Linked DNA regions of Cricetulus griseus. The protein of the gene in region 3 purifies or fractionates together with the protein of the main gene of each other region. This does not show direct contact. Links are inferred from orthologs where the notes say so. Each region holds a gene or a part of one and is shown on either strand. Other genes may lie near its edges.

Evidence for each region.
Region 1: the proteins of Rbm17 (region 3) and Snrpa1 purify together in Homo sapiens (affinity purification with mass spectrometry; 5 studies listed by BioGRID and IntAct, with this or other methods). This does not show direct contact. The link is inferred for Cricetulus griseus from reciprocal best matches to the Homo sapiens genes RBM17 and SNRPA1.
Region 2: the proteins of Rbm17 (region 3) and Cherp purify together in Homo sapiens (co-immunoprecipitation; 4 studies listed by BioGRID and IntAct, counting the BioPlex papers as one, with this or other methods). This does not show direct contact. The link is inferred for Cricetulus griseus from reciprocal best matches to the Homo sapiens genes RBM17 and CHERP.

The regions. Positions count from the first base shown.
Region 1 is NC_048596.1:131,213,767-131,218,060, forward strand, and holds the start of Snrpa1 (U2 small nuclear ribonucleoprotein A'), read right to left. Parts: upstream 2,906-4,294; 5' UTR 2,829-2,905; coding exon 2,747-2,828; intron 961-2,746; coding exon 813-960; intron 1-812. UniProt on the Homo sapiens protein: Involved in pre-mRNA splicing as component of the spliceosome. Associated with sn-RNP U2, where it contributes to the binding of stem loop IV of U2 snRNA.
Region 2 is NW_023276806.1:247,223,949-247,228,242, reverse strand, and holds the start of Cherp (calcium homeostasis endoplasmic reticulum protein), read left to right. Parts: upstream 1-1,287; 5' UTR 1,288-1,404; coding exon 1,405-1,429; exon of another isoform or gene 1,430-1,510; intron 1,511-1,707; coding exon 1,708-1,881; intron 1,882-4,294. UniProt on the Homo sapiens protein: Involved in calcium homeostasis, growth and proliferation.
Region 3 is NC_048596.1:228,368,231-228,372,424, reverse strand, and holds part of Rbm17 (splicing factor 45), read left to right. Parts: intron 1-1,377; coding exon 1,378-1,494; intron 1,495-3,003; coding exon 3,004-3,170; intron 3,171-4,194. UniProt on the Homo sapiens protein: Splice factor that binds to the single-stranded 3'AG at the exon/intron border and promotes its utilization in the second catalytic step. Involved in the regulation of alternative splicing and the utilization of cryptic splice sites.

The DNA.
Region 1 (4,294 bases), about 97 Mb from region 3:
ACTATATTAATTCAATTTTTATATGAAGCTGATAAACAGCCAGGTGGTAGTGCACATATTCAATTCCAGCACTTGGCAAGGAGAGGGAGGAGGATCTCTGTGAGTTCAAGGCCAGCCTGGTCTACCAAGTGAGTTCCAAGACAGGCTCCAAAGTTACACAGAGAAAAACCTGTCTTGAAAAACAAACAAACAAAAAGGATGTTATTGAGACAGGGTCTCACTCTGTAGCATCAGTTGTAACTTGCTGTGGAGACAAGGCTGGACTGCCTCAGCCTTCCAACTGTTAGGATTAAAGGTGGGCACCACTACACCTGACTTTTATAAATCATTTTTATTATGATGCTGTTGGTAATTGCTCTAGAATCTGAAATGTATACAGAGCAACATGTTTTAAATTTAAATTCAAAGTTTAGTATCAACTACGAATACTAAAGATCTCTGAAGATAGCAAGTAAGGTCAGACCAATGCCCACGTTAGTCTCCCAATCTCTTAGAAAAAGTGCTCGATTCATTCCTCCCTTTAAGAAGAGACATGGAGAGGCTGGAGCACTGGCTGCTCTTCCGGAGGACCCAGATTCTATTCCTAGTACCCACATGAGAGCTCACAACTGTCTGTAATTCCAGCTCCAGGGAACTCACACCCTCTTCTGGCCTCCAAAGGCACCACAATGGTATACAGATAGTGCAGACACACTTGCAGGCCAAACACTAATATACATAAAATGAAAACTAAAAACAAATCATGTCTTTCTTCAGGGTACATTGTAACATCTTTTCAAGGTAGAAAAGTATTCTCACTAGCAGACACTCACCAAATTCTGTTGTTGTTCACTAATAATGTTTTCAGTCTTCTCAATAAAGGAAAACCATCCAGTTTCCTGATCTCATTATCAGAAAAATCAATAGCATCAAACTGGTCTAAGGTAGCACCTAAATTTTCAATGACAGGGATTTTATATCCTGTAGAGGGGAAAAATACATACAGCAAATATTAATATAAATGAAAGGTCCTGAAAACAGTAGGAGCATCTGATTGTAATTAGACTCAAAGTACTCATTCAAGAAGTATTAAACCGGCACGGGTGCCATGTCACACTCTGTACAAAAATACTGAAGATAAGTGACAAATGAGTTACAGGGTCCTTACTGCCTCGAAGCGTGTGGTCATGCAGTAAACTTGAAGAGGAGGTTGAAGGCAAGAACAAGAACACAGGCGTATACTTAGTAATATTGGTGTCCACTGTTTATGAGAACATCTACAAGGTATTTACACTGTTCAAAGTTCTTAAGAGTGTCAGGCTCTATGTCAAGTTAACACTGCTTACTGTTAATGCTCAAGTCTTGCTGGGACACTGGTGACCAGCCTTCTAAACCATTCACATAACTCAGCAGTATATCCTCATGCTATCCTGACTCACTCTCTTCTCCACCAGCTCCAATTCAGAGCTGAAAATGGTGTCTATACAACCACAAACCACACTGTGAACATCCCCTTGATTGTCTAATGGGCATAACCATCGAGCTAGGTGCCAAAGGAAGAAGAGAAACTTAGTACACAACTTTCACTCAGTTGTGAAAGAGCGCAATAAAATAAGCTTTATCAAGACTGCATGGTCTTCAGAGATGCAGCAGAGACCAAAACTGTGTGCCAAGACAGTAAAAGGGTTCAGATACCTCTGAAATGGACTTTTGTCTGAGAAAGCTAATGTCTAACAAAAGCACTAGGATTTTCTATAGGTCAGCAAGGCATTTTAGCAAATGGCAGAGTATAGTCCCCGAGACTGTGGTTGCCTCATGACACAGTTATATAATCCTAACCCCTTTCAAAGCCATCTCCTGAAAAGTAGATAACTGCACTTTCAATGCTATATTTTGTTATTATTGTCATTTTCTTGTTTTATTCGACACAGGAGACTAGGCTGGCCTCGAACTCAGAGATCCGCCTGCCACTGCCTTCCGAGTGCCGGGCGTGTGCCACCGCTGCCCAGCTAATGCTGTGTTTTGTTTTTGTTTTTTTAAACCAAGCTCTACTCAACAGGTTAGTGTTCACCACCCCTCACATGGGAGTGATGACTATAAGCCTTGGTCAAACAGATCAAGCTAGAAAACACCTTCTTATAAAAGTGAATTATCAGGGGCTGGGGACCTGGTTCTGTGGGGCGAGTGCTTGTTTATCAAGAACAAAATCCTGGGTTCATCCGCAGCACCATATAAACATGGGGCACACGTTTAAACCCAGCGCCGGGAAGTGGAGGCAAGAGGGCCGGAAGTTCGAGAACGTCCCTAACTACACAGCGGTTTGAAGCCAGCTCTGAGTACAGGAGACCCTGTCTCAAAAAACAAATGAGCAGACCCAAAATGGAATTATTGTATAATTAAGATAACTTTGACTTATATCTAATCTACCCTCACGTGTCATATTAACGCATTTGCTAAAAACCAGCCGGTCGCGGTCCGGAAGATACCATTTTCTATTTTCCTGGCCCTCAAACAGTTCAGGCTGCTGAGCATGCCGGGCAAAGCCTAACGAATACGGACCCGGGAAGGAACGGAGAAGCCGTGTCTGTTAGCGGGAGCGGGTAACAGACGGCTCCAAAGGGTCCTGAGGGACCGGCGATCGGAGGAGGTACCCTAAACCCGGGCGGGAGGCCCCCGGGCCAGGCTCCGGCCTCCGCGCACGCGGCGGGGCCCGCTCCTCCCGGCCTCGCGCCGAGCCCGGACACAGCCCGCGATCCCCCTAACTCACCGCGAAGATCCAGCTCGCGGTCCCGCACAGCATTGGTGTACTGCGCCGCCTGCTCGATCAGCTCCGCCGTCAGCTTCACCATCCTGCCGCCGCCGAGTCCCCTCACCTCGGCCACCGGCCTGCGCCTCCCGCCAGTGCCGTGTCCCAGGGTGCACCGCGCCGCGCTGCCAGACAAAACCAATCGGAGCGGCGCTCACCTCGACCACCAGGCTAAAGCAATCGATCGAAGGCACCGCCGGGCGTTGCGATCGTCGTCTTTGCTTCTTGGTTCTTCTTGGCTGGTGCGTTCCTGGAGTGTGGCGAGCCCAGATTCCAGATATTTGTGTCCAAAAGATAAGAACACGAGAGAGGCACTCTCACTTCAGTGAACCTCGAGGCTGGGGTATTTGGGATTGTCCAACAGGGGGCGGACACTCCGCCAAAGCTTCAGGGATTCAGGTTTCTAAGATTTGCGGTCCAGCAGAGACAAGGCTGGGCCATTCGGCTGGACTGCCTTAAGATGGGCAACATCCGAGCTAGTATGGTCACCTTAAAGCCTCAGGGTGGACTTGCGGCGTCTAGACATTTAAGTATTGATGTCGAGGGGCTAGCCAGAGAGATGGCATAGAGGTTAGGGGCACTTGCTGCTTTTGCAAAAGACTTTTGCAAAAGGAGTCTCATTTCAGTACCCAGTTGTGCACCTCACAACTGCTTGTAACTACAGCCCCAGGGATTCGTCGCCCATTTCTAACCTCCTCGGACACCGGCAATCGCAAACATAAAAATAAAATAAAGCTTAAATGATATTCATATTGTAAACTGGGCGTGGCGGGGAACGCCTTTAATCCCAGCATTTGGGAGGCCAGATCTGTGAGATGAGACCAGGTCATTCTGATCTACAGAGCGAGTTCCAGGGCTATGCAGAGAAAACCCGGCTTGAAAAAAACCAACAACAGCAACAAAATTCATATGAAGAGCAGGGGCGTACACACATCAGAAACCTGACATTTGATGAATGCCAACAGAGTGAACACACACACCTGCAGAGCCTTGGCCTCTGTCCCCAAAGACGGCCAGGAACCCAATTCTACGAATTAGTGCGCTTATTTTTTATCTTAGCTTATTAATTAGTGTATATGCCACTTGTTTGTGGGTGCCAGGGGAGGCTTATGGCCTGAGATTCCCTGGAACTAGCTGTTGTAATCCTGTGGACATGTGTATTACAGGCTGAACTCCAGTCCTCTGCAAAAGCAGAAAAGCATTCTTTAAATCTTTTTTTAAAATTACCTGTGTGGTTTTGTGCACATGGGTGAAGATACCCACAGACTTCAGAGATGCTAAATTCTCTGAGATTGGAGTTACAGGTGGTTGCTGGAAATGAACTCAGGTCCTCTGAAAGAGCTGTAATGGCTAAGTCAGGGGATGACTTTGAACATCTCACCTCCCTGCCTCCACCTCCAAGTGCTGGGATGATTGGATTGAGCTCATGTAGTGGTGGGAGTGGACTCTGAGTTTCTGTGCATGCTGAGGCAGGTACTCTACTGAGCCACATCCCCAGCCCTGATTTTG
Region 2 (4,294 bases), on a different chromosome or scaffold from region 3:
GCAAGAGAATTAGGAGAAGCCAACATAATGGGCTCAAAGACACAGTTAATGGCTTGGGGGGCAGCACAAATGGAATAAGTAAACCCACGCCAGGGATGTCAGCACACAGCTCCAAGAGATACTGTGCACTCTTTCAGTCTCAGAGGGCACTGAAGTCACCTGCTCAAACCCACCAGACATGGCCGGCGTTGGTGGCGCACGCCTTTAATCCCAGCACTCGGGAGGTGGAGGCAGGCAGATCTCTGTGAGTTCGAGGCCAGCCTGGTCTACAGAGGGAGTGCCAGGACAGGCCCCGAAGCTACATAGAGAAACCCTGTCTCGAAAAACAAAAACACCAGACACATATACATGGTTAAATCAGTTTTTGTTTTTCCAGATATGGTTTCTTTGTCCTTTCCAGTCCTGGCTGTTCTGGAACTTGCTCTGTAGATCAGGCAGCCTTGAACTGCCTGCCTGCCTCTGCCTCCTAAGCGCTGGAATTAAAGGCGTGCACCGCTATGCCTGGCAAACTAAGATACATTTTTTTCTTTTTCTTTAGTACAGCTCTGTGCTTGCCAAGTATGCACGCATTCCTGGCTTCCAATCTTAACACCCCATAACCGCGATGCACACCTGTCATCGCAGCACTCAAGCTACAAGATCACCCCAACTATACAGGGAGTTAGAGGTCAGCTTGAGCTTCCTGAGACCCCATCTCCAAAAAGCAGAAGTAAATAACAAAATATGGCTGGGCGGTGGTGGCGCACGCCTTTAATCCCAGCCCTCGGGAGGCAGAGGCAGGCGCATCTCTTTGAGTTCCAGGTCCGTCAAGGCTACACAGGGAAGCCCTGTGTAGAAAAACCAAACAAGAAACAAAACAAGAAAAATTGGCTCTCCTCCCCTGTCAGCACGGTCTGCACGGTCGCTTCAGAAGCCGACGTCGTTGCTCACTTCCGTCTGTGGCTGATATTGGGGAGCCGGGCGCCCCCAGTTCAAAATTCTTACCCAACAGACACGGGTCGGAACGGGGGCCCCGAGCCGGGATCGTGTGCTTCGCCAGGTCCGGAGAGGCCCGGGAACACCCGGGCGAGAGTCTCGCAAGGACGCAAGAGCACAAACTCCAGCCGGCGCCGCTCCACACGCTCCGCCGCGTCGCGGGCCGGCGACCCAGCCTGCGCCTGCGCCAGGAAGCTCCCACGCATGCGCCTCGCCAGCCCTCCCGCGCGTGACTCCTCACGCAGCCTCTTCCCGCCCTCCTCCAGTCCTCACTTCCGGGGTTTCCTAGCGACGGCCGTAAATGGCGCGCCGAAGCGGCCCTCGAGGTCGTCGTAAACGGCTCCCTTCGCGCCACTTCCGGCCGGCTTCTGCGGCCGGTGCTGGTGGGCGATCGTGAGGCTCCGGAGGACGTTCCCAGCGGCTGCAGCCATGGAGATGCCGCTGCCGCCAGACGGTGAGGCCCGAACCTGAGCGGAGGTCGTTGGGTTCTCCCCGCGGGCCCCCGGCGGCCGGCCGTGCCTCTTCGAGTTCCCGGGTCAGAGACGAAGCGCGCTGCGGCCTCGCCGCTCCTCCCGCGGCCTCCCCCGTGGGTCCCGCATTCCAGCGCGCGCGCTTGGCCCCATTCGGGACCCGTACACCGCCGCCTCGCCGCGGCCCGCCCGCCCCAGAGGACCCCGGCCCGGTCCCCGGGTTCGGGCTGCTCCCACTGACGCCTTTTCCTCCGTCCTGCAGACCAGGAGCTTCGAAATGTCATCGACAAGCTCGCTCAGTTCGTGGCGCGCAACGGGCCCGAGTTCGAGAAAATGACGATGGAGAAGCAGAAAGACAACCCGAAATTCTCGTTTCTGTTCGGAGGCGAGTTCTACAGTTACTACAAGTGCAAGCTGGCTCTGGAGCAGCAGCAGCGTGAGTCCCCCCGCCCCGCCGCAGCCGCCTCCTTTGGGGTCGCTTGTCGGGTCCTCTGCGAAGCCGGTCGGTGGTGTTTCCGCTGTTGTTTCTGTCATTCCCGGGGCCCTGCAACCGAGATAGAGTCTGTGTGTCATAAAGGAGTCATAGAAGGGTCATAGATTCAGTTCCCGGGCGCCGGGTCGAGAGTTCCTGGATTGTCTTTGCAGAGGGGACGACGGTTTCTGCAGGAAGGCGGGAAGCAGAGGCTTGCTTGTACCTTCCTTGGGCAGGAACTGTGTAGCCCGTTCTGCAGGCTGAGGCCAGAGGTTTCTGTGCTTTTCAGATACATAGATCAAGAAGTTTTTTCTTTAGTTTTTTTTTTTTCTCTCTCTCTCTTTTTTTAATGGTTTTGACACAGAGTTTCTCTGACTGTCCCGGAGCTAGTTTGTATACTAGGCCGCCCTTAAACTCAGAGATCTGCCTGCCTCTTCCTTTCAAGTGCTGGAATTAAAGATGTGCACCACTCCTCTGGACCTAACTGTATCTTAAATGCCCAACTAGGTGATCATCAAGAAAAGCCTGATTTTAAAAAATAGTAAAAATAAAAGTTTTAGAGCCAAGTGTGGTGGGTCAGCCCCTTAATCCCAGTACTCAGAAGGCACAGGCAGGTGAATCTCTGAGTTTAAGGCTAGCCTGGTCTACATATCGAATTACAGTACAGGCTGGGGAATGTAGACCCTGTCTTAAAAAACTGGAAAAAAGAAAATAAAGAGTTAAGAAGCACAGCTGGTCTTTGAAGGTCTGACACTGTAGCCCAAGTTGATCTGGCATCAAGTTACCCAGGCTGGCTTCCAGCTCAAAGTAAACCAGCTTTTCAGGTGGTGGGATTACAAGGGTAAGGCAGCATACCCCAGTTTTGAATGATAATGTGTCAGCAGATGGTATGGGTCCTGAGGGCAGGACTCACATTTGTCATACCCTGGGTAGCTCTCTGGCCTCTGAATGGGCTGTTGAAATGAGTGCCTGCCCTTGGAAAGCCATGGATATTCAGAGGTCATAGCTGCTGAGCCACAGTCCTCTGCTGCCAAATACTTTCTTTGTTGTGCTCTAGCAGTGTGTTGTGGATGATTGGTAGAAAGCTATTAGGACAGTTAGACTTGAGCCCATGGAGCACAGAGGCATGAGTAAGCCATGTGTTCAGAGAGGAGCCACCGATGGCCGTGTGAACTTGGGGGGGGGGGCGTTAATATGGAGAGTTTTGATATACCAAGGTGGGCTGGAGTCTGTCAGTCATAAGGTTTTGTTTCCTGTTTAGTTTTGAGAGAGGTCAGCTGTTTGATGTCACCAGCAGGGTGTCTCTGATCATTCCTTAGCCCCAGAGCACCAAGTTCATAACCCTAAGGCAGCAGAGAGCCACAAGTGGGTTGAAACAGGTTCCAACACAACAGGCTGGAGTTGGGAAGGTGTTCAGCATGGATGGGTGTGGGGACAGGTAGACTGACCCCCTGGGGGATGGGTGAGGGGTGGCAAAGTGGGAGGAAGCTTTGACAATGCCTTGGAGTGAATATCCCTAAGAGCTACACAGGAAGTCCCTACCCACCCTTCCCACCTGGACCGGCACTTGTTGAGGCCATAGGCTTAGTGCTATAGCAAAGAAAGGAAAGTGTGTAGGAACCATGGCAGATTGGGGGCTGGGGACAGGAAGACAAATCCGAGAGCCATACCATAGTATGATATACTGAACATGACAGGGGCAGCCAGGGGCAAACTGGAGAGAGTCTTGGGCAAGTTGGGGGGAGGGGGAGACAGGCTGAGGGCAGTGGACAGTGGAAGTCCAGAAGAGGGTTTGGGTTTGGTCACAAGGGAGAGAGACATGGAGTAGGGAGGATCTGCTTGCTGAGGAGCTATGAGCATCACCTGAAGTTAGGCTCAGAAGGGGCTGCAAGCCTACTCAGTATTTTATCACTAAACCTTGGGCTGGTCTGGAATGATACTTTGCAAGCTCTATGGTAAAGGACTGGTGTTCAGTTTGCTTCTTAAAACTTTTTTTTTCCTTTGTTTTTTGAGACAGGGTTTCTCTGTGGCTTTGGAGCCTATCCTGGAACTAGCTCTTGTAGACCAGGCTGGTCTCTAACTCACAGAGAATCTGCCTGCCTCTGCCTCCCGAGTGCTGGGACTAAAGGTGTGTGCCACCACCGCCATGACCTTATATTTGTAAAGTACAATAAAAAAATAATGTGAGCTGTGGGGTGTTGCCTATCCCATAGATTATCACTCAAGGCAGGGCTGCTCCACAGGCTGCTGTCTGCTATGTGCAGAGGGGCCACTCTGCTGCAGGACATAGCTCTTTACTAGGTGTGATGCAGACACAGGCAGAGGTATGGCTAACACTGCTGCTGATTAGCGTGAGGGTTACATACACCCTGATCTG
Region 3 (4,194 bases):
TGAGCAAATAGATTTTAATAGATCAAGGTGGAATATTACTTTAATATGTTGTTTCTTTTGGGCTCCTCAGTGAGTTTCTCATAGTACTAATCAAACTTGTAAAAATATTTGGTAGAGAAAAATTTTACTTGTATCTAAAAGATGAAGCTATGGTTTCATTTGTATTTCATTTTTGGAAATACCTGTTAAATTTAAAATAAGCAAATAAATGATTATCATAACCCCTGTTATGCAAACTTTGGGGTTTATGTTGTGATTTTGCATTTGTATGACATGTTGTTTGCTTAAAGCACTGTTAAAGCTTAGACTCCCTAATAAGAATGAAAGTTTGTACCACAACTTTTCGTGATCACCATCATTCCATTTGACCAACCATGGCATCTTAGCAACCTGAGAACTTGATGTAGTTCACCAGCTCACTGTGAGACATTCTTGCCTACAAGCTTTACCCTGAGTCTAACCAGCTTCTAGAAATGCCAGACACAGAGTTAGCTGTGTTATTGTAAGTTAGCTAGAGGATCTAGAATAAGCATTCATAAGAACGATATCCCAGGGGAAAAACAAAGATGGTAATGGTGATAGGTAAGAGGGGCTGCTAAAGATTGAGACACGGATCAAAAGTACATTTTAAACTTTGTTTAAAAAAAACAAAACAAAGACTAGCTGTTTAACATGCACTTTGAGGATGGTGAGATGGCTCAGTGAGTCCAGCCTGATGACCAGAGTTTAAGTAGAACCCTATGGTACAAGGACAGACTTGTCCCTCCAGTCCCTCTGACCTCCATATAGTCACTGTGGTATTTGCATGTAAACACACATGCATACACACCCAAGTAAGTATATAAGTAATTTTAATTGGTTGAGTAAGGTTATACTAAAAGAAGTAGAGTAGAAGCTTGCCTTGGAAGGCAGAGAGGTGGATCCCTGCAAGTTTAAGGCTATTCAGAAGGTGGTCACATTTACTGTAAACTTTATAGAAAAGTGGAGGAAATCTGCTTTTAAAATGACCAAAAAGAATGGAGATATAACTCACTTGGTAGCATGTTTGCCCAGTTTTCAGTAAGTCCTGTGTTAAATCCCCAGCACTGTATAAACTGGGTCTGGTGATATATACCAGCACTCAGCAATGTGGAGGGAGGTGGATCAGGAGTCCAAGTTCATCACCAGCTATGTGGGGCACTGGAGGCCAGCCTGGGTTACTTAGGACCCTTCCTCAGAAAGCACTTAAGGACACTATACTAAAGACTGTTACTGTTTAAAATGATGGTTTTATCACAGGCAGAGGCTGGTTATAGAGAGTAGAAAAAGTGTCTGTGTTGCAAGTAGCATGAATTTTAATTTGGAACATTGGTATGTTTTTCTTGTTTCTGATGTCAGAGTCAGCGGACAAAACAAAGTACAGTCCTTGCCCCAGTCATCGACCTAAAGCGAGGAGGCTCCTCAGATGACCGGCAGATTGTAGACACACCACCTCATGTAGCAGCTGGGCTGAAGGTAAGCCTGCACATGCACATATCTGTGGCTTTAATGCATTTCCTGTTTGCTTTACACATATTTTCCTCTATTTTTTAAGATTGACTTTTTTTTTTTATCTGTGTGTGTGGTATGTGTGTGTCAGTGTCTGTGTATCTCTGTGTGTGTGTGTGTGTGTGTGTGTACCCTTGGAGGCCAGAAGGGGACATTAGATCTCTTGGGGCTGGAGTTAGGCCCAGTAAACACTCTGGTGTGGGTGCTGAGAACCAAATTCTGGTCCTCTGATAGAGAATAAGCACTCCTAACCACTGAGCCATCTCCAGCCCCACACAAGAGTCTCCCCAATAGGCCGTTGAAAGAGAGTTTCATTTCCAGCTCAGGTTTTACTTTGCTACCATCAAAACCTTTATTCCTTAAAATAGTTGATTTTGAAAACAACAGGTGTGAAAGATGGGCAAAAAAGAAAAGCAGGTATCTTCTTAATCATACTCTCCAGGCTTTAAAAGTTACATAATTTTAAGCCGGGTGTTGGTGACACATGCCTTTAATTCCAGCACCTTTAATCCCAGCACTCGGGAGGCAGAGGCGGGCAGATCTCTGTGAGTTCGAGGCCAGCCTGGTCTCCAGAGCAAGTGCCGGGATAGGCTCCAAAGCTACACAGAGAAACCCTGTCTCGAAAAAAAAAAAAAAAAAAAAAAAAAAAGTTACATAATTTTAGAATATCTTTCTTGGATGAGTTCTACCTTTTGTTCTCTAATTTCCTTTTCTTAATATATCAGTGAGTGTCCATCTTTGCCAAAAATACAGAACAATGTGGTTATTTAGAAATACTTGTATATGTATGAGGTTTTTGCCTGCACTACATGTGTACCTGTTGCCTGTGGGGGCACATTCCCTAGGACTGGAATTACAGACAGTTGTGAAAACCATGTGGGTGATGGGAATCAAACTTAGGTTCTCTGAAAGAGCAGGCAGTGCAGTCATAGCAATCAAGCCTGGTCTACAGAGCGAGTTTCAGGATAGCCAAGGCTACACAAAGAAAGCCTGTCTTGAAAAACAAAACAAAACAAAAACTTGAACATGGTGCTGCATGTCTTTAACAGGACAGGGCTCCAGAGAGGCAGGGGGATTGGGAGTTGTCCAGGCTCACCTTTGGCTCTGTGCCTAGTTTGTGGCTCTGTGAGACACTGTCTGGAAAATGATAATCCACTTTTACATGTATTTTCCTGCAGGTGTCATTCGAATGATGACTGTGGTAGTTTAAAACTCACTTAAACAATGATTAAGTTCATGAATTGTTTCAGTTTTAAGTTCTACAGTGCTTTTCTAGGAATAATTAAGCTTTTGCTTGATTGCCACAATATGCTGCCACCTGGTGAGATGTAGTTTGCTATGAATTGTTTACTCATCTAGGAAATATAAGATCCTTAGATGATCACGAAGGTCTCTTTCATCATCCTTTGACCTTGATTCTATGATAACCCTGCAGAATATGAAGATGGTACTCACTTGAATATTTTTCTTCCTCAGGACCCTGTTCCCAGTGGGTTTTCTGCAGGGGAAGTTCTGATCCCCTTAGCTGATGAATATGATCCTATGTTTCCTAATGATTATGAGAAAGTAGTGAAGCGCCAGAGAGAGGAGCGACAGAGGCAGCGGGAGCTGGAAAGACAGAAGGAAATAGAAGAAAGAGAAAAGTAAGTGTCGTCTTGATTTGGGAACAGATATCTTGTTAATGTACATTAGAATGTGAATGAATTTCTGTGTTGTCTCTAGGGGTGGGTTTATGGTTTCAATCTTCAGGAGTTTACTTGTTTGGTTTTTTTTTTTTTTAATGTATTTAGCCTACAAGTAAAGGTTACTTACTTCACACCTCCCTATTTTTTTTTAAGATTTTATTTATTTATTATGTATACAACATTCTGCTTCCATGTATATCTGCACACCAGAAGAAGGCACCAGATCTCATAACGGATGGTTGTGAGCCACCATATGGTTGCTGGGAATTGAACTCAGGACCTCTGGAAGAGCAGTCAGTGCTCTTAACATCTGAGCCATCTCTCCATCCCCGAGTTTACTTGTTTTTAAGAATTTGTAATTGTTCTGTCCCATTGTCCCCAAATAAACTTGAGAAAGTTTATTTATTTATGGGCTCTAAAAAACCTAAAGTGTAGACTTTGCATGAATTAGAAAAGTAACTTAGAAAACCCACTGGTAGCCAGGTGTGGTGGTACATGACTGTAATCCACCTACATAGTTTAAGACTAGCCAGGGCTACATGAGACTATCTGAAAACCAAAACACAATAGAAACCCATGTTGAAATTGTTAGCAGGGTTGTGACTGCCAGAATCACAACTACTTACAGTGTTTCAGTGTTATTCCTTTATTTTGGGGATTGGATTTTGGTTTTTCTAGATGGGGCTTGTCTGTGTAGCCCTCGCTGTCTTGGAACTCACTACGTATACCAGGCTGTCTTTGAGCTCAATGAGATCTGCCTGCCTGTGCCTCCTGAGTGCTGGCATTAGAGATGTGCCACCATACCTAGCGTCTTAAAATTTTTAGTTTTGTTAATTAATATGAATTCTATACTAATATGGTATTTCTCGTTTATTGGATGAGTGACTTTTATGAGTGATTTTGTAGCCTAGAAAATTGAAATCATTAAACTGTATATGCATATGCCTTAAAATAAAAAGTTAGATATAATTTTTTTCCTATG